Arabidopsis thaliana: one gene and its partners. The protein of the gene in region 3 interacts with the protein of the main gene of each other region in a pairwise test. Each region holds a gene or a part of one and is shown on either strand. Other genes may lie near its edges.

Evidence for each region. Proteins that work in one complex are often made in the same cells at the same time.
Region 1: the proteins of AT5G19960 (region 3) and AT3G06980 interact in a two-hybrid assay, tested with the Arabidopsis thaliana proteins (one large-scale study listed by BioGRID).
Region 2: the proteins of AT5G19960 (region 3) and EDA14 interact in a two-hybrid assay, tested with the Arabidopsis thaliana proteins (one large-scale study listed by BioGRID).

The regions. Positions count from the first base shown.
Region 1 is NC_003074.8:2,199,501-2,205,705, reverse strand, and holds AT3G06980 (DEA(D/H)-box RNA helicase family protein), read right to left. Parts: upstream 4,275-6,205; 5' UTR 4,176-4,274; coding exon 3,914-4,175; intron 3,782-3,913; coding exon 2,841-3,781; intron 2,738-2,840; coding exon 2,543-2,737; intron 2,434-2,542; coding exon 2,246-2,433; intron 2,130-2,245; coding exon 1,916-2,129; intron 1,783-1,915; coding exon 1,651-1,782; intron 1,564-1,650; coding exon 1,388-1,563; intron 1,282-1,387; coding exon 1,044-1,281; 3' UTR 535-1,043; downstream 1-534. Other genes in the region: LCR44 (low-molecular-weight cysteine-rich 44), read right to left, coding at 1-139, 242-314; AT3G06970 (RNA-binding (RRM/RBD/RNP motifs) family protein), read left to right, coding at 4,556-4,726, 4,899-5,031, 5,139-5,220, 5,313-5,382, 5,473-5,793, 5,877-6,053. UniProt on the Arabidopsis thaliana protein: Probably involved in resistance to biotic and abiotic stresses.
Region 2 is NC_003074.8:22,311,724-22,316,364, forward strand, and holds EDA14 (embryo sac development arrest 14), read right to left. Parts: upstream 2,705-4,641; 5' UTR 2,505-2,704; intron 2,299-2,504; 5' UTR 2,280-2,298; coding exon 2,224-2,279; intron 2,139-2,223; coding exon 2,048-2,138; intron 1,862-2,047; coding exon 1,770-1,861; intron 1,649-1,769; coding exon 1,555-1,648; intron 1,462-1,554; coding exon 1,382-1,461; intron 1,192-1,381; coding exon 1,111-1,191; intron 1,028-1,110; coding exon 928-1,027; intron 847-927; coding exon 754-846; 3' UTR 535-753; downstream 1-534. Other genes in the region: AT3G60370 (FKBP-like peptidyl-prolyl cis-trans isomerase family protein), read right to left, coding at 3,277-3,399, 3,659-3,735, 3,850-3,958, 4,088-4,197, 4,311-4,495, 4,579-4,641.
Region 3 is NC_003076.8:6,742,159-6,746,918, forward strand, and holds AT5G19960 (RNA-binding (RRM/RBD/RNP motifs) family protein), read left to right. Parts: upstream 1-1,719; 5' UTR 1,720-1,870; coding exon 1,871-1,981; intron 1,982-2,222; coding exon 2,223-2,321; intron 2,322-2,358; exon of another isoform or gene 2,359-2,413; coding exon 2,414-2,826; intron 2,827-3,173; coding exon 3,174-3,234; intron 3,235-3,304; coding exon 3,305-3,358; intron 3,359-3,456; coding exon 3,457-3,525; intron 3,526-3,600; coding exon 3,601-3,666; intron 3,667-3,747; coding exon 3,748-3,816; intron 3,817-3,903; coding exon 3,904-3,975; 3' UTR 3,976-4,223; downstream 4,224-4,760. Other genes in the region: AT5G19950 (tudor domain protein (DUF1767)), read right to left, coding at 1-14, 512-725, 927-1,094, 1,263-1,544.

The DNA of each region.
Region 1 (6,205 bases), on a different chromosome or scaffold from region 3:
CAATGGTTGCAACAACACATATCGGGAGTTTTCCAGCCAACGCATTGGCCAAATAAGTATCCCATCCTGATACAAGCCGTGTTACAGTCAGCAAGCATTTCACATGATCCAATGCATTGGGGTTCAGCTTCAACTTTCCCTGCTTTTCACCAAATACAAAAAAAAAAAAAAAGACTTGAGATAGAGTAACACATTATTAATATTTTCCCATAGTTTGCTATTAAGACACGAAGAGACTAACCTGAAACAAAGAGAAATAGGATGACTATTGAAGTCATCACGAGGAAGCTCATGAATTCAATCTTGCAATTCATTTTCGTTGTAGCTAATCTATTCGTTTTGCTTTAATTTATGTTCTTATGAGCTCTTTTTATAGGGGATTTTTCATTTTTCTGTCACACAAACAAAATCTGTTGTGAATTAATTTAATTGATTTGGACATTTAAGTATTTTTGCCAATCCAAAGATATTTTCTATTTATATACAGATTACAGATAGTGCAACTTCAAAATCTGAATTGTATTAATTTTGATTGATAAACTGCCATTTCAAAATCTTTATTGCAAATCAAAATCATGACGATTTATTTCCCTTTCACATACATCACCAGTTCCCACCCAATCTTTGATCATTTGTCTATTTCTCAATGCGACAAGTACGTATACACAACCTACTGGCAAATTGGCGCCATGTGAATCTTTTTAACAAAATGAGACAAGTAATAAATTCCCAGACTGTGTTTGCTTGCAACCAGCTGCTTCTCCTCTACAGTACGCATGATAGGAAGAAGATAAGCTTATGTCCAAATCTTCCATATCCTTTAGATAACTTTATATCCTAATTGGTTATGATCTTGATTTGGGGCATCAATTCAGTGCAAGACTCCATGAGCTTGGAGGTTAAGTGTCATTAACAACATTACAACAGACTAATGGTCAAAATTTGGACTTGGCTTCTCTACGTATTTCTTTTAACTAACAACAGAGTGAAACTTTCAACACACAGATTGCAGTAATAAAAAGAAGGTCAAGATGAAGAGTTACTTAGGTTGTGAACTCGTAAGCGTTTGGGACATCATGAACTGGGTGACCTTTCTCATTTCGCTCAATTATCCTCCGTGCCAACCCTACTTGCTTCCCCACCACAAAGATGAAAGCCTTTCCTTTTCCCCTAGCCCCTCTTGCTGTTCTTCCTACACGTCTCACGTATTCACTGGGGTCACGTGGGAAGTCAAAGAGCACCACATGATCAACACCAGAGAAATCTATCCCACGGGAGGCTCTGCAATTGTTTCGGAACGAAAAAGGAAGAAACAAAAAATTAACATCTTCAATGTTCAGGCAATATAGCATCATAAAAAACGATAACAGTAACCAAATTGAGGTACCTATCAGTGCAAACCAGAAACAGTGAATTTTCTTCGGGCTGAGATGATGTGAATTCTTGCATGTTTGTAAGCCTTGACTCTTGTGAGAGTGCAGCATGAAAAGGTAGGACGTGCAACTGTCTTTCCTTTCTATCAACCCGCTTAAATATGTTCTCAACTTTCCTACATGTCTCAATCTGCATATAAAAGGGTGGATATGAGACTGAGATGTCCAAAAAGGTTTCAAGTAGTAGCGAAAAGCAGTAGGTTGGCGACCATGGTACCTTATTGCAGAAGATAATAGTTTTGGAAACAGGGTTTTCCTCCATTATCTGAAGGAGAGCAGTTTTCTTGTTCTGAAATGCAGTCTCAGGAGTTTTCTCTGCATTATCATCTCCACTACAGTCAACAAGAAACTGCACAGTGCAACTCAACATTGGTCAGGGACGAGTCAAAGAAGATTATTCAGCAACCAAGTTAGCAAAACAAAAATTCTGCTACTGTTGTTGATCCCATTACATATTTCCAATCACTTATGTTAATACCAACCTCTTCGAGAGCATTACTAACACGGTGCACTCGAGGTCCCATTACAACTTCACAATCAGGGAAAACTTCAACAAGTTTGTTGTATATTTCAAGTGGCAAGGTTGCTGTAACAAATAGATACTGTGCAGTAACAGGAGAAGAGTTTATCAAATTTTGCAGGGCTGCCTCAAACTCATCGTCGCCAAAGAGTATATCCACCTCATCCAAGATGGCACTGCAAAACACGTAACCAAGATTGTACCCAATCAATTTTCACACAAAAGTTGGTGAAAGTCTTTCATCTCGTCAAATCAATGGGGAAAGTTTGCTTTGTTGAAAGATTTAAAGTACCATCTTAAATTTGACAACCCCAAAATTCCTTCGTTCATTAGGTACGTGAAACGCCCTGGTGTTGCAATCAAAACGTCAACACCTTGCTCTAAATTTTCTAGCTGGGTTCGTTGTCTGAAGCCACCCGTCACTACCATCGAACGGAACGGGACCCCAGACTTTGATATTGATCTACAGTTAGCAAGAACCTGCCAAGTATTTCATATGTACCAAACAATTGTCTTCAGCTAAATACATTCACATCAATAACCAATGAATCAACCTAGGAAGATCATTCACATATAAAAAGAAATGAACCTGAGAAGCCAACTCTGCAGTTGGTACCAGAACAATGACACGAGGACACCCAGGAGACGATTTGCTGTGTCCTTGAAGCTCTTCTTCCCTGAGACGCTGAATAACAGGGACAAGATATGCCAGTGTCTTGCCTGATCCACTTTGGTCAGCTATGATACAACTCTTTCCATCAATAACTGGTGAAAAAGCCATAGCCTGCGTCAAACAAACAAGAATGGTAGCACGATAACAGTAAGAAGATTTGTATACATACACATGCACCTAGATGATTTATCAAGTGTGAAAATAAAGTCTGAACCTGAATATGTGCCGGGCGATCAAAATTCTGTTCCTTTAAGGCCTTCATCATATCTTCACTACATCCAATTTCTGCAAAAGTTTTCCGGCTAAAAAAGCCAGTCTCCCTAGTATCCTTGGTTTTATTCCTCTCTCTCCAATCATCCATATCTCTTGTATATACAACAGAACGCCTATCACCCCAACCCCGAGAGTTAGTATCAGAGCCTTTTGAATGTGATCCTCCTCTGAGTCCTCTCTCATTATCAGTGAACCTTCGAGGATTATAAACCTCATCATAAGCTTTATCACGTCCCTGAAATGTATCTAACTCTTTGGCAACAAAACGCCTATCTTCTCTACCCCTGGAGTTAGCAGAAGAGTCTCTTGAATATGAACTCCTTGATTCTGCTCTCTCGTTATCATTAAACTTTCGAGGGTTTGAAACCTCATCAATAGCTCTACCATGTCCCTCAAATGAATCTAAATCTCTTGCAACCGAAAGCCTATCACCCTTACCCCTGGAGTTAGCAGCATAACCACCTTTTGAATATGAACTCCGCGACCCTGCTCTCTGATTATCAGTAAACCTGTCAGGATTTGAAACCTCATCAACATCTTCATCATCTCCTTCCAATCTATCTAAATCTCTTCTTGACTCTCTAGATTCCCGCACTTTGCTAGCTCTTTTTACCTCGTTCCTCTCTGCAGATTTTCCTGATCTAGGAATAGCCTTCATAGCCAGCTTCTTCCTCATCAAATCCAGAATTGATGATGAACCAAACCCTTCATCCGCAGAATAATTCTCATCAGAGGCGTCATCCTCGTCTTCTTCCTCATTGTGACTCATATGCTGCTTCTTCTGCGTTACCTTCCCAACAAGAGCTTTCACTTTCTGGGCCTTTAACCTTCCAAAACTCGCAGTCAGACCTCTCGAACGCGAACCATTTCTTCTCGCAGATTCTACAACACCAAATAAATCATTAAAACCAATAATAATAACGAACACAGTTCCTAATACCTAATTTTACAAAATCCACTACAGGTACTACAATTCGAGGAGGGAGACAAAAGCTAGCAACTAACCAAAATTACCTGACGGAATCGAAGAGAGTAAATCGGAAGAAGGCGGAGGAGCGAACTCATTCTCCTTATCTGCCGCACTGATGATAACGAATCCGTCATCGGTGGAATCGTCGTAAGAGCTCGAAGTTTCCAGTGGTCGCCGAGTGAAACCAGCTCCTCTAGCTACCACTCCTCCGCCGTTACGAAACAACCGCACAATCTCATTCCGATTACAGATAGTATTATTCCTCGCCGGGAAATTAAAATAAGGCGGTGGAGCTCTCGCCAACATCTCCTCAAGTATCTTCTCTTCTCTCTTCTCTCTTCTCTTCCTAAGCAGAGTGGGAAAAGAAAATAAACGGTATAGTCATCATAGAGATAAGAGAGGAGATGACCCAAAAAAAAAAAATAAATAAAATTTAAAAGATTAAAAAACAAACAAATAATAAATAAATAAAATTGCATTCCATCTAATAATATCCTAATTTCTTTTTCTATTGGGAAACTAATTTCCTTATCTCCTTATATATAGATATATATAGATATATATTTTTTAACAACTCTTATCTCATTATATATATATATATATATATATTAGTTCCAAACCCTTAAACCCTGCAACTTTCTGTTTCTTCTCTAAATTGGTTTTTAAGAGATTATTTATTGGTTATGATGTCTCAAACTAATAATCATGATACTAGGGTTACGAAGATTTTTGTGGGGAATTTAACATGGAGAACAACTGCAGATGATTTGAGAAGATACTTTGAACAATTCGGACAAGTGGTTGATGCTAATGTTGTTTCTGAAACTTATCCTGGCAGATCAAAAGGCTATGGTTTTGTAAGTATCCTTTCTTTTCCTTAATTCAACTTCATTAGTAAACCTTTGTGTATATTTAAAAATATGAAGATTTCCTCTGACCTAGAAACACGTTTTGTTTGTACTCTGTATGGTTTGATTCCATATTTAATACCGGTTTAATGAAGACGATTGATTTGTATTGAATTTTCAGATTACTTTTAGAGACTATGTCTCTACAGTTAGAGCTCTTCAAAATTCTAAACCCATCATTGATGGAAGAACAACCAATTGCAATTTGGCTAGTGCTGGTGCAAAACAAAACATGAATCACCCTAACCTAAACGGTTTATATATCCTTATTTCTCTTTCTAAATCTTGGTTTTATGATTTTATTTTGTGTAACAAAACTTTCTCAAACAACTTTTTCTTCTTCATAACTTTAAATTTGTAGGATCATTCAATTATGTTATACCGCCGCATCAATATCAGCAAGCTCCTCAACACGTAATTCCATATTGTCCTCCGCACACCTGGTAATATTTATTCAATTTTGTTTTTAAACTAAAGTTTGAATATTGTTTTCATCTAATTTCTTTGCTTATATATTTATTTTCATAATATATAGGAATCACGTTTGGGGACAATATATTTACATGTATAACAACAACCCATGTTATTATTACCCCACACAAATGGTTGGTAATTATGGTCCATATTCTTTTGTGATTTTCCTAATATGTTGTAGTTAACTCTTTTAAATTTAATTGGATATGGTATTTGTGCAGATCCATAACCGCAGTGATTTTATGACCCACCTTGCTTGGCATCAGACAAACAGACGACCTGTCATTATTTCTACGCCTCCAAGATCATCGGTTCAAACTGAAAGCATTAGCGAAACTGATCAAGAACTCATCGCGGATGTTGCACATCACGACAATGAAGAGGCGGTTACAAAATCAGATAGTGATGTTGATCAACAAAAGGCAAAGAATGTAAAAGGAAAGAACATTGGACAAGACGGTGACATCAAGCAAGATGCAAGGGATCAAGAAGAAAAGATCAATGACCAAGAAGATAGTATCAAGCAAGATGTCGATGAAGAGGTCAGTTGTTTTAGTTTTAAGTTGATTTTCTAAAGCTAATAAAGAGAGTTATTCTTTAAACTTGTGTGTTCTTAACAATCTAGCAAAACAAGATCAGTGGCATCGAGAAAGTTGTGGAGAATCAGGAAGTAAAGATCATGTGTGAACAAAAACATGGCACAAAACAAGATGAAGATGTAACAAAAGAGTTTGATTGTGGAATCGAGGTCACACACCAAGACAAGAGGGTCTTTGAAGAAGTAGATGAAGATACACCATAAGAAAATGAAGTTGATCATGTAAACACTGGTGAGGAGAGACACGAAACAAACCACACTTATATTGCAATCAAACCTTTATTTTTTCTGTTAGCACGAAACTACTTTTAAAACTTTATATTTCCAACTTTTACCATAGTTAGTGCCAAATTAAT
Region 2 (4,641 bases), on a different chromosome or scaffold from region 3:
ATAGGTTTCTGAAAAATTGGAACTAATAACGCATATCATAAACATAGGGGTAACATTTGTGTCTTATGCCTTTAATTAAAATGACTTTATAATGTTTTCTGAAATTATTTAAGACTAATTGTTTTTTAGTAGAAATAGCAAATATCATAAGCCAGTGCATTTGTGTTATATGCCAAAGATGGCTGTTTTTCTTTATAAGTTAGGATTTGATTCCAAATTTAAACTTGTACTAAAACAGCAATTGTACCAAATCATTTAAAGTCCCATTGCTTTTTGTTTTCTTTCTCTCTTTACATAAGAGTAAATAAATAATAAATTAAAAAGGCTGAACCAATATTTTTTGAGTCTTTTAAGTAACAAAATCTAAAACTTAAACAAAAACCAAAATTTAAAAGCTGAGTAAGATTTGCGTATTTTTGGTAAAAGCCAATCAGAAAGAAAAGGGCCCATTATTTGCTATTTACAAACAGTCTTTTTGTGTATACCGAACTTTATCTTAGTGGTAAAATTTTGAAGTCTTCAATCTTCTATTTTGGATTCATGTGTTTATATTTCGTCAATCACATTAGTAAAACTTTTCCAGATACGCAACAAAGAGCTTAAAGTAAACAGATATTGTCCCATCCAAAATTGTATGTAAAGTTCTGCAGGTTCTGGAGATCAAAAAAACTATAATAAAACTGCCTGCTATATAAACTTTAATAGAGATCAGAAAAATGATGTCAAGCTACACAACCATGAAAGCTTTTCTCTTCAGCGTTTTCTATCGGCGCGCCATTTGTATACCGCTTTACCATTTGGATTGAGCAGCTCGTCATCACGCAGCTTCCGTTTGCGACCCTTTTTCTGTCCATTAAAAGAGTTTAATCAGAGATGGTCTAGTTGCATACCAAGAAACAGTAATGTGTTCGGGGGACTGATGATAACCTGTAACTCCTTCTGCATTGACATATCCGTGTATAACTTCTCCAAATCTTTAGCCCTGCTCTTCCGCCCCTCGAGGTCTCTATAGGACCTATCCATTTTCCTGTTTTAAGAAAATAGAATACAATGACTATTGATTGTCCGTTTGATACCTTTGAAAACATCTAATTCATTTCAGATACATACTTTTTAATATCTTTCGGAATCTCTACTGTAGAGATATCACTTTTGCTTCTACCTTGTACCTCCAGTTCTCTAGCCTCCTCTCTGATAAAGGAACAACAGAGTTAAAAAAGAAGATTATAAGAAAACACAAACAATGTGGTACCGGTAATGTCTTTTAAATGTTAAGGTAAGGAGGATCAAATTTTGCAGTGTCCATATGACACATTCAAAATGAATGAGAAAATCACGAAAGCTACACCAAGTAAAGAAAGGACTAAAAGTTGGGATTAACCTGTCTTCTGCATAGTAAACATGTCTACGGCTTGACTGATCCCCAGTACATTGCAGCGATGCAGTCAGCTTGTCAATTTTCTACAAAAGATAAGAAGGAACAAAGAGAAAAACTGGATAAATATGATCGTAAGCAGAAAGCTCTTGGGGTGTGTATGAGGAAAGATAACTTACGTTTTTCTCACTCTGCCATTTTTGGAACACATATCCAATATCTTGAGTCTTCATAATCATAAGCTCTTCCGCAGAGTATTTATTTACCTCATCTCTGAAAACAATAACTTTGTCAAAATTTACAAACCAAGAAGAAAACGAGAAACCATGAGAATAGCAAAAGAGATAATAGTGAAAAGCAAAAAGAAGAAAACGAAGAGTTTCGATATGCTTACTTTGGTCTATGACGTCCATCAACTGTTTTACTATTAATCATCTTAAAGTTGAATTCATCTGGATTCTTGAATGCAGCCTTCTGCCTAAGTATCTGCAGTAAAGTAAAACGGTGTAAGAGAAACTGAACTCCCAACGATTTAGTTTCTTAGCTATCTCACAGATATCATCAATCAATCCCGTAAACTAACAAATGTCTACTTGAAAGACTTTATTAACATAATCTCGACAGTATAATCATAGGAGAGATGGAATTGAAAACAGAGAGTGTAATAGTTACCTTTAAAGTTTCCTGCTTTTTGTGATAAGCATTAGCTCGGATAATATAATCCTTATGCTTCTCGAGGATGCCAAACCTCTTCCTCGCTTCCCTGATGATACGTTTAAAAATCCAAACTTTAAGAAGAGAAACGAAGAAAAGAACAAAAAGGACACCTGAGAGCAATAATAGCTTACGGTTGAGATCGCTCCTTATGAGCAGGCCGTGGAATAGCATTACGCAGCGACGACATGTTGGATTTGCTCTTGACGCTGCAATTTCAGTCACAAAACTGTTTAGAATTAAGAGAGCTTAAAGATGATCTTAAGCTACTCGAGCTCATCAACTTAACGAATTGAAACTGAAACCCTAATCTGAAGTATGAATCTAATCCAACAATGCAACATTCTCAAGTCTAAACCTAACTATGCATTCGAACAGACGAAACGAAAGAAAAAAAGAAGCCAAAGATTCTCACGTGAAATACAGGGGAACCCTAGAAATTAGACGACGCCGAGAAGAAAGGTGAAAAGTAGAAGTCGCCGGGAACACAACAAATTTCACCGATGACCTGAAACTTGGTTTCTGGAAAGGAGTAGAGAAGTCGGCGAGAAGAAGAGTTTAGGGTTTTTTGGGGATAAAGAAAACTCAAACCGAACCTTCTAGCTGAGACTAAGGGTTTAGTGGATACGTCGCAATTACTCATTTACCCTTTTTATCGTTTTAGTTGCTTTACTTGCAAATTATAGTTTCCACACATAAAATGTCTTAACGTCTTTAGATGAAAATTTCGTAATTAACTTTCCAAATGTGATGAGCATTGCACATCTACCGTTCCAAATTTCAATGTATCTTTGTACAATTTATTATTTGTTTGGGGTGTTTCATAAAGAGTGCCAAAATTTGGGGTAGAAATTATAAAACTAACGAAACAATGCATTGCTTTAACTTGACAAACGCACAGATACAGAGAGACAGAAGATATCAAAAAGCTCCAAACGCTTAAAACGTGATCAACAAAGCAACAAAAGTAAACTACGATTATGAAAAAGGTCGAGACTTTACATGATCTTTATCTGTCTCTCTATGTAATTGTGCATCTCTACATGAAACCCACAAGATAAATGCCTAAGCAAAGAATAATTGTTCTTTTTGTTTCTTTGTAGTTCTCATCTGCCGTGCAGATTTAGAGTATTGAAGATTGAAGAATGCAGGTTCATTGAAGCTTAGTGATGACCATCATTTGGAAGTTAACTGCATGTGACATCTGAGTAGAAACCTATTATAGTCCTCCTCTCACAATTCTGGATACTGAGCAACTCCACGTCGAAAACTTCAAATTGCTTCGAGCTGAAGAAGGTCGAAGGTCCCACCTGGTTAGAGCCCAATGAACTTTGTTTTGTCAAAAATATGATCGAACCAAAGTGAAGACAGTTTTTACACAGTACAAGTCTAATCTACATTGGTTTAGATATGTCCCTAAACGAGCATGCTCAAGCTAGTAATTCCATTTGAAACATTGTTGATAGAGGGATGGTATATTCAACGGAATGGCTCAGCAAAAGTTTACCACTAGTCAGGTTTACAGTTCAGACAAGTGTATACTTGTAAGGAACAAGTAAGAACACTAACCGGAGGTCCCAATTCTGGAGGGATTATAATCCTTCTTCGCCCACCGGGCTTCATGTCACGAATTCCCATTTCAAATCCTGCATCATCATTATCCATATAGTATTAAAAATCTTCAATATGTGTTTCCTGTCAAAGAAGATTCTTCATTAACATCCTACTACTAAAGAGCCAAGTTAATGTCTTCTACTTGCCTGGAACAAGTGCATTGGTTCCCATGCGGATTCTAGCAGGAGAACCTTGTATGTAAGTACTATCTATTCGCCTTCCAGACTCATTGTAGCCAATGTAGTGAAAAGTCACCTGTCAAAATAACCATAAAACTCAATGATATCTTCAATTCTATATATCCAAGTAAAGAGCATACCAATTCCATAAATGATCTAACTTCAGATCCTAAGTTTAACTAATCTAACATAGAGGAAGTAGTACCTGCTGACCATCTTTTGGGAAATCACCTTGACCAACATTGAAATCCCGATATATGAGGCCAGAATCAGCCTTGATGTAATTATCAGAAGCTAATACCTTAACCTCAAAACCTGCACTATATCAGCAAAAACATAAACACAAACAAAAGGACAATAAGTTCTCATATTCTTCTTCCACTCAAGAATGAATAATACTCAAAGAAACAGTGAATAAAAGCTTAAACCTTCTCTAACAAAGTTAGGAAACTCGTCAGGAGCATTGTTCTCTCTCTGTATCCTCTTGTTCTGTTCTAGTAACCGTCTCTCATCATAAGGACTCTTTGATTTAGTCTTCGCAGATGAAGACAACGCTGGTAACAACAAACACGGCGAAGCAACTAAAACATAAACAAGACTTCTCCGACTCAAGCTGCAATTAAAAGACCAAGCTTTATCTCCAGAATCAAACCAAAAAAAGGAAAAAAAATTATCTCTCAAGATTGCAAATTTTACCATTGGTCTTTTGGTTCTTCACTCAATGAACAACATACCGAGCGATTGCTCCGAGATAATGAC
Region 3 (4,760 bases):
CGTCTTGTTGTAATCTGTCAACCAACAAACATATGCTGACAAGTTAAATTTTTGATGCATTGGCCAAACTTCCATCACAATACTTTATGTAAGCCCACACAAAGGAAGAACAATTCAATAGATCATAAATTTTACCACAATGAAAATGCATTCACTCAAGTTTAAGTATTGAAACAATGGAGACCCAACAGCGCCAATGTTGGACACAAAGCCAAGGGAAAACATAGATCAGACCTCTACATGAGTCGTCATAGGTTACATAAACGGATATATTGGGATTTTGGAGCTCGGGTCAAATTACTAATATGTTTATGCTAAAGTGCATTTGGATGGAATAAGTCCTTGCTGCAGTCAATGCATATTTATGTACACTATCAACATGAAATAGAAAATGGTAGATATTTTATTTGGTAGCAAAGATTGGCCAACCGTTTCAAAGTGAACTAAATATGCAACAAATTACTAGAAGAAAACTGAATGAAAATGATGAGAATAAGAAAATCCTGCTTACCGCGGTGATGGGAACCTGTTCGAATCTTCAACTCCTCAAATGGAGGAGGGCCATCACCAGCTTTGCTTTCCTGAGATCGAGCCAAACTAGCGTATTTTTTCTTCATCTGCCATTCTTCAGTGAGTGATTGCACATAACCGCCCAAGACAGTCACCTCTTTTGGAGTCAAACATACTAGACCATCACGTATCACAGCCTTATTTTCTAGACGTACCTGCCAACGAGACAGTACAAAATATCAACAATACAAAATGATTTATGATTTGCATATGACACCCTCTGATGCATGACAAACACATATGTGCACTAGCTTTCTATTGATTTAGATCTTAATCCAAACTATTATATTTGCATGAGACTTTCAGAAACATAGTAAAGGAGAATTTGAATTAGATTGATATGGAAATGGAACTACCTTAGTACCAGGAGTGACATCATTGTTAATCGTTGGTATATGAGAGTACTCAAGCGCGGATATTTCGGTCTTCCCGTCAGTCAGAGCGAATTTTAGCACTCGTTTACCAGTGGAACTTCCCACAAATTCCTCTGCGCTACTTCTTGTAACATCCCTAACATAACTTATCTATGCTCACAAAAGAAAACAAATTAACACTCAACAGCTTGAATCAACTGCAACAATTGAGCATTCTGAAACTAGTTTAAATCTAAGTATATCAGTGAGAGTGACTCATTGAATTAGCGAAGACCTAATGCCAATTGTTACTGACTTTAGCTGATTGAAGCAATGTACCTGGAGAACTTTGGGGCCTTGAAGATGAGAACACCTGCGTAACTCGGTCGGGTCCGGGAGGGATTTACCTCCGATTAACTTAATATCCATGTTAAGCAGCTCCGCCTCCACTGACTCCACGATGGCGCCTGTTTTATTGCCGCCGCCGATCAAGGAAGAGATTTCAGTGACCAGGGATTTCAAGTATTCGACGTCTCTGAAGCACCAGCCCCGACTAGTTAGGGCATTTATCACGACGGTGTGGGTGTGGTCGCCGGCGGAGGAGCTTGATGTTCCCACCATTGCGTTGATGCTCTTGTCGCGCTAAACCAATTGGGGAAGACGAGATTTTAATTTGGAGAATTGATTTTGTTATGGTCAATATCGAGTTAAACTAATTACTATTCACTAATGATACTTTTTGCATAAAATCGTTTTGATCAATAAAGAAGAACATTTTTAACAGAAAAACTAGAAAAGTAATTCGAAAAAGTCCTATAAAAAAGGTATTTTCCGGTTTCGTTTTAGTGGGCCTAATGGCCCATATGTAACACGAAGATTTCTGACAGTACGACTTCTAAAGTACTTTGCTTTCCTTGTTGAATTCCGACCAAAGTCGATAAAGAGTTATGACGATGGACGATGGTAACTCCGTCTACGTCGGCGGCCTCCCTTACGACATCACCGAGGAGGCTGTCCGTCGCGTCTTCTCCATTTACGGCTCCGTCCTCACCGTTAAGGTTAATTTTCTCTTTTCAATATCCTGATTTAAGTTTCTTAATTAGGATGATTCAAATTCGTTTCGTGATTTTGAAGTTCCAATCTTATTGTATGATCTTATAGATGATAAGCTTTAGTAGATATCTATGTAGAAAGACTGACCAAGTGATTTAGATAACATCCAATTGCTAGTTGATATATCTTACATGTGAGCTGGTCAGAGTGTATATTGACATATATGTGTACTATTTGAGAATTCAGATTGTCAATGACCGGAGTGTAAGAGGGAAATGCTATGGCTTTGTTACATTTTCGAACCGTCGATCGGCTGATGATGCTATCGAAGATATGGATGGAAAAGTATGGTTCTACTGCTAAAGTTTTGTTCTTTTGTTTATATTATCATGTACGTGGTGTGTTTATATTGTTGACGGTATTGAGCTCGTAATCAGAGTATTGGTGGGCGTGCAGTGCGTGTGAATGATGTGACAACAAGAGGTGGAAGAATGAATCCAGGTCCGGGGCGGTTACAACCACACGGTGGTTGGGATAGAAGTCCTGATAGGAGAAGTGATGGTAATTATGAGAGGGATCGGTATAGTGATAGGTCTCGAGAACGGGATAGGTCTCAGGATAGGAGAAAAGATCATCGCTACATAGAGAAGGAAAGAGCTTATGAGCATTCACATGATTTTGAGAGGAGGAATGATCATGATATGGTAGATAGAAATGGTTATAAGGAAAGAGTTTTCGATGGTGATGAAGGAGATTGGCGTGGGGATAGGTCTTATGTGGATAATGGTAGGGGAATAAATGGGACCAGTGCTCACGAAGGAAGGAGCCAAGAAACAAAGAGAGAAGATAGGTAAACTTTTGTTGAAAACAATGCAGTTGTAGACTTCACATTGGATTTCAAACTTTTAGTGTTCCTCCTGTTTCTTTGAATTGTGACATTCGTTGTTCTTGTAAAATTGGTCTGCTAGTTTGAATGAGTCAAAGACTGGGATGCTAGTCTTAGTCACGCCGCTAAACCAAATCATCCACACCTGTTGTGGTTAAGTTTGATAAATTATCATCGATTTTAGTGTAATGGATTTGAGGAAGTTTCTTGCTCTTGTTGGCTTTGTGCATGTTACCGTTTGAGGAATGTTTTGGCTTGCTTTGGTTTTGTTAACATGTCTAAATCTTTGTGTGTTCTTGTTGGATTGACAGTACCATTCTTGATGGTGGACGTGGCAGAGATCACTTCTCTAATTCAAGTGGAGATCATCAGGTAAAGATGATTTTCTTAGCCATGCAGTGTTTGCATAAATTCATTTTATAACTTGCAACTTCTATTACAGGTGAAAGAAGATCTGGAAGCGCTGATTAAGATGCGTGAGGCGCTTCGAGATGAGGTATGAGGTAGTTTATCTGTGCATATAGGCTGTTGGTAGATTTATTTTACATAATCACGAGTGATCCAATGAATTTATGGGCTACTTTCATTTTTAAGGTGATGGTGATGGAAGAGAGACTGGAAGTAAAAGAAGTAGTGTGCTCAGAGCTACAGAAGAAATCTAAGGTATGTGTCTTCTATATCTTACAACCCCAAAATGTTTGACTACAGATTTGTTCTCATTTGAAATGGTTAAGACAGAGATTAGAAGATTTGTTGATCAATGAAAAGAAACTGGTTTCACAACGCCGAAAAGAATTGGCAAAGGTAAGCATAGGTTCGATTCCTGTTCTAAAAGTCGGTTTTGTTAGGTAATGTTTGTTGACATTTGGTCTATGTTTGTGGTAGCTACATAAATCATATTCAAGGGTTAGAGAGTGCACGGACAACCTGAAAGACTGTGAACAAGAACTCCAGGTTAGTTTCTAAATTTTCTTATTCTAGTGATTGTCATTGCATAAAGATTAGGCCTAATCGAAACAAGTGTCTATTCTTTTCTCGCAGTTGCTTGTTAATTCAGCAGCTAGAGAAGGCGTGGCAGGTGCTGATGAAGGATTGGGACACGGGTATCCGTAACACGGTCACCCGCATGTATGATCTGTTTTGTCTAAAGTGTAGCTTTGATATGTCTTCTCTTTGTGACTTTCCGAGTTTTTTTCTAGTCGAGCTACACTAATTTGGTACATATTTACTTGTTTTGGCAAGTATGTATTCATTTCATTCGGGATGTATTATTATCATACGAACATGAACTAAATAATTATGTTTTCAACTTGCAACTGAAACCAAACAATCACCATACAAAGTGTGGAAGTAAAGTCTCAAAGCTTTGTTAGAGAAGAAGTCCTAGATAGTACTTGGCTATAGTTAAAATATTTTAGTAGATGAAGTTGACAAATTAACTATTTCTTTTTGTAATGTTTGCTTTGTTCTTTACTAATATAAAGATACTTGGCTACAGTGAAAATGTTATAAAAAGAGAGAAAAGAATAGACAGTTAAATTATTAAGGTTGACACAACCATCATCTCCACCGTCCATTACTCGTCAGCCGAATGTTTTTTATTTGATTAAGATGTGAACATCATCCATTGACCTATCGTTGCTTGTAAAGCCAAGTTAGCCAACCAACACTCAAATCATCATTATACGTGACGATCTTAAGAACAACCCCATTTAGGATACTCTATATGTTTGTCTTCTCATATAAATTTCATTATAGTAATATTAAGGCATTATCCATTATTCATATATATTCTTCAAGGCATGTTTCGTACATCTTATAGCAAACCAGTAGCAGTAAATAGCATAAGCAAATGTGTTCTTCTTGTCGCATGGCTCTAGTGGAATTCCACGTTTCTC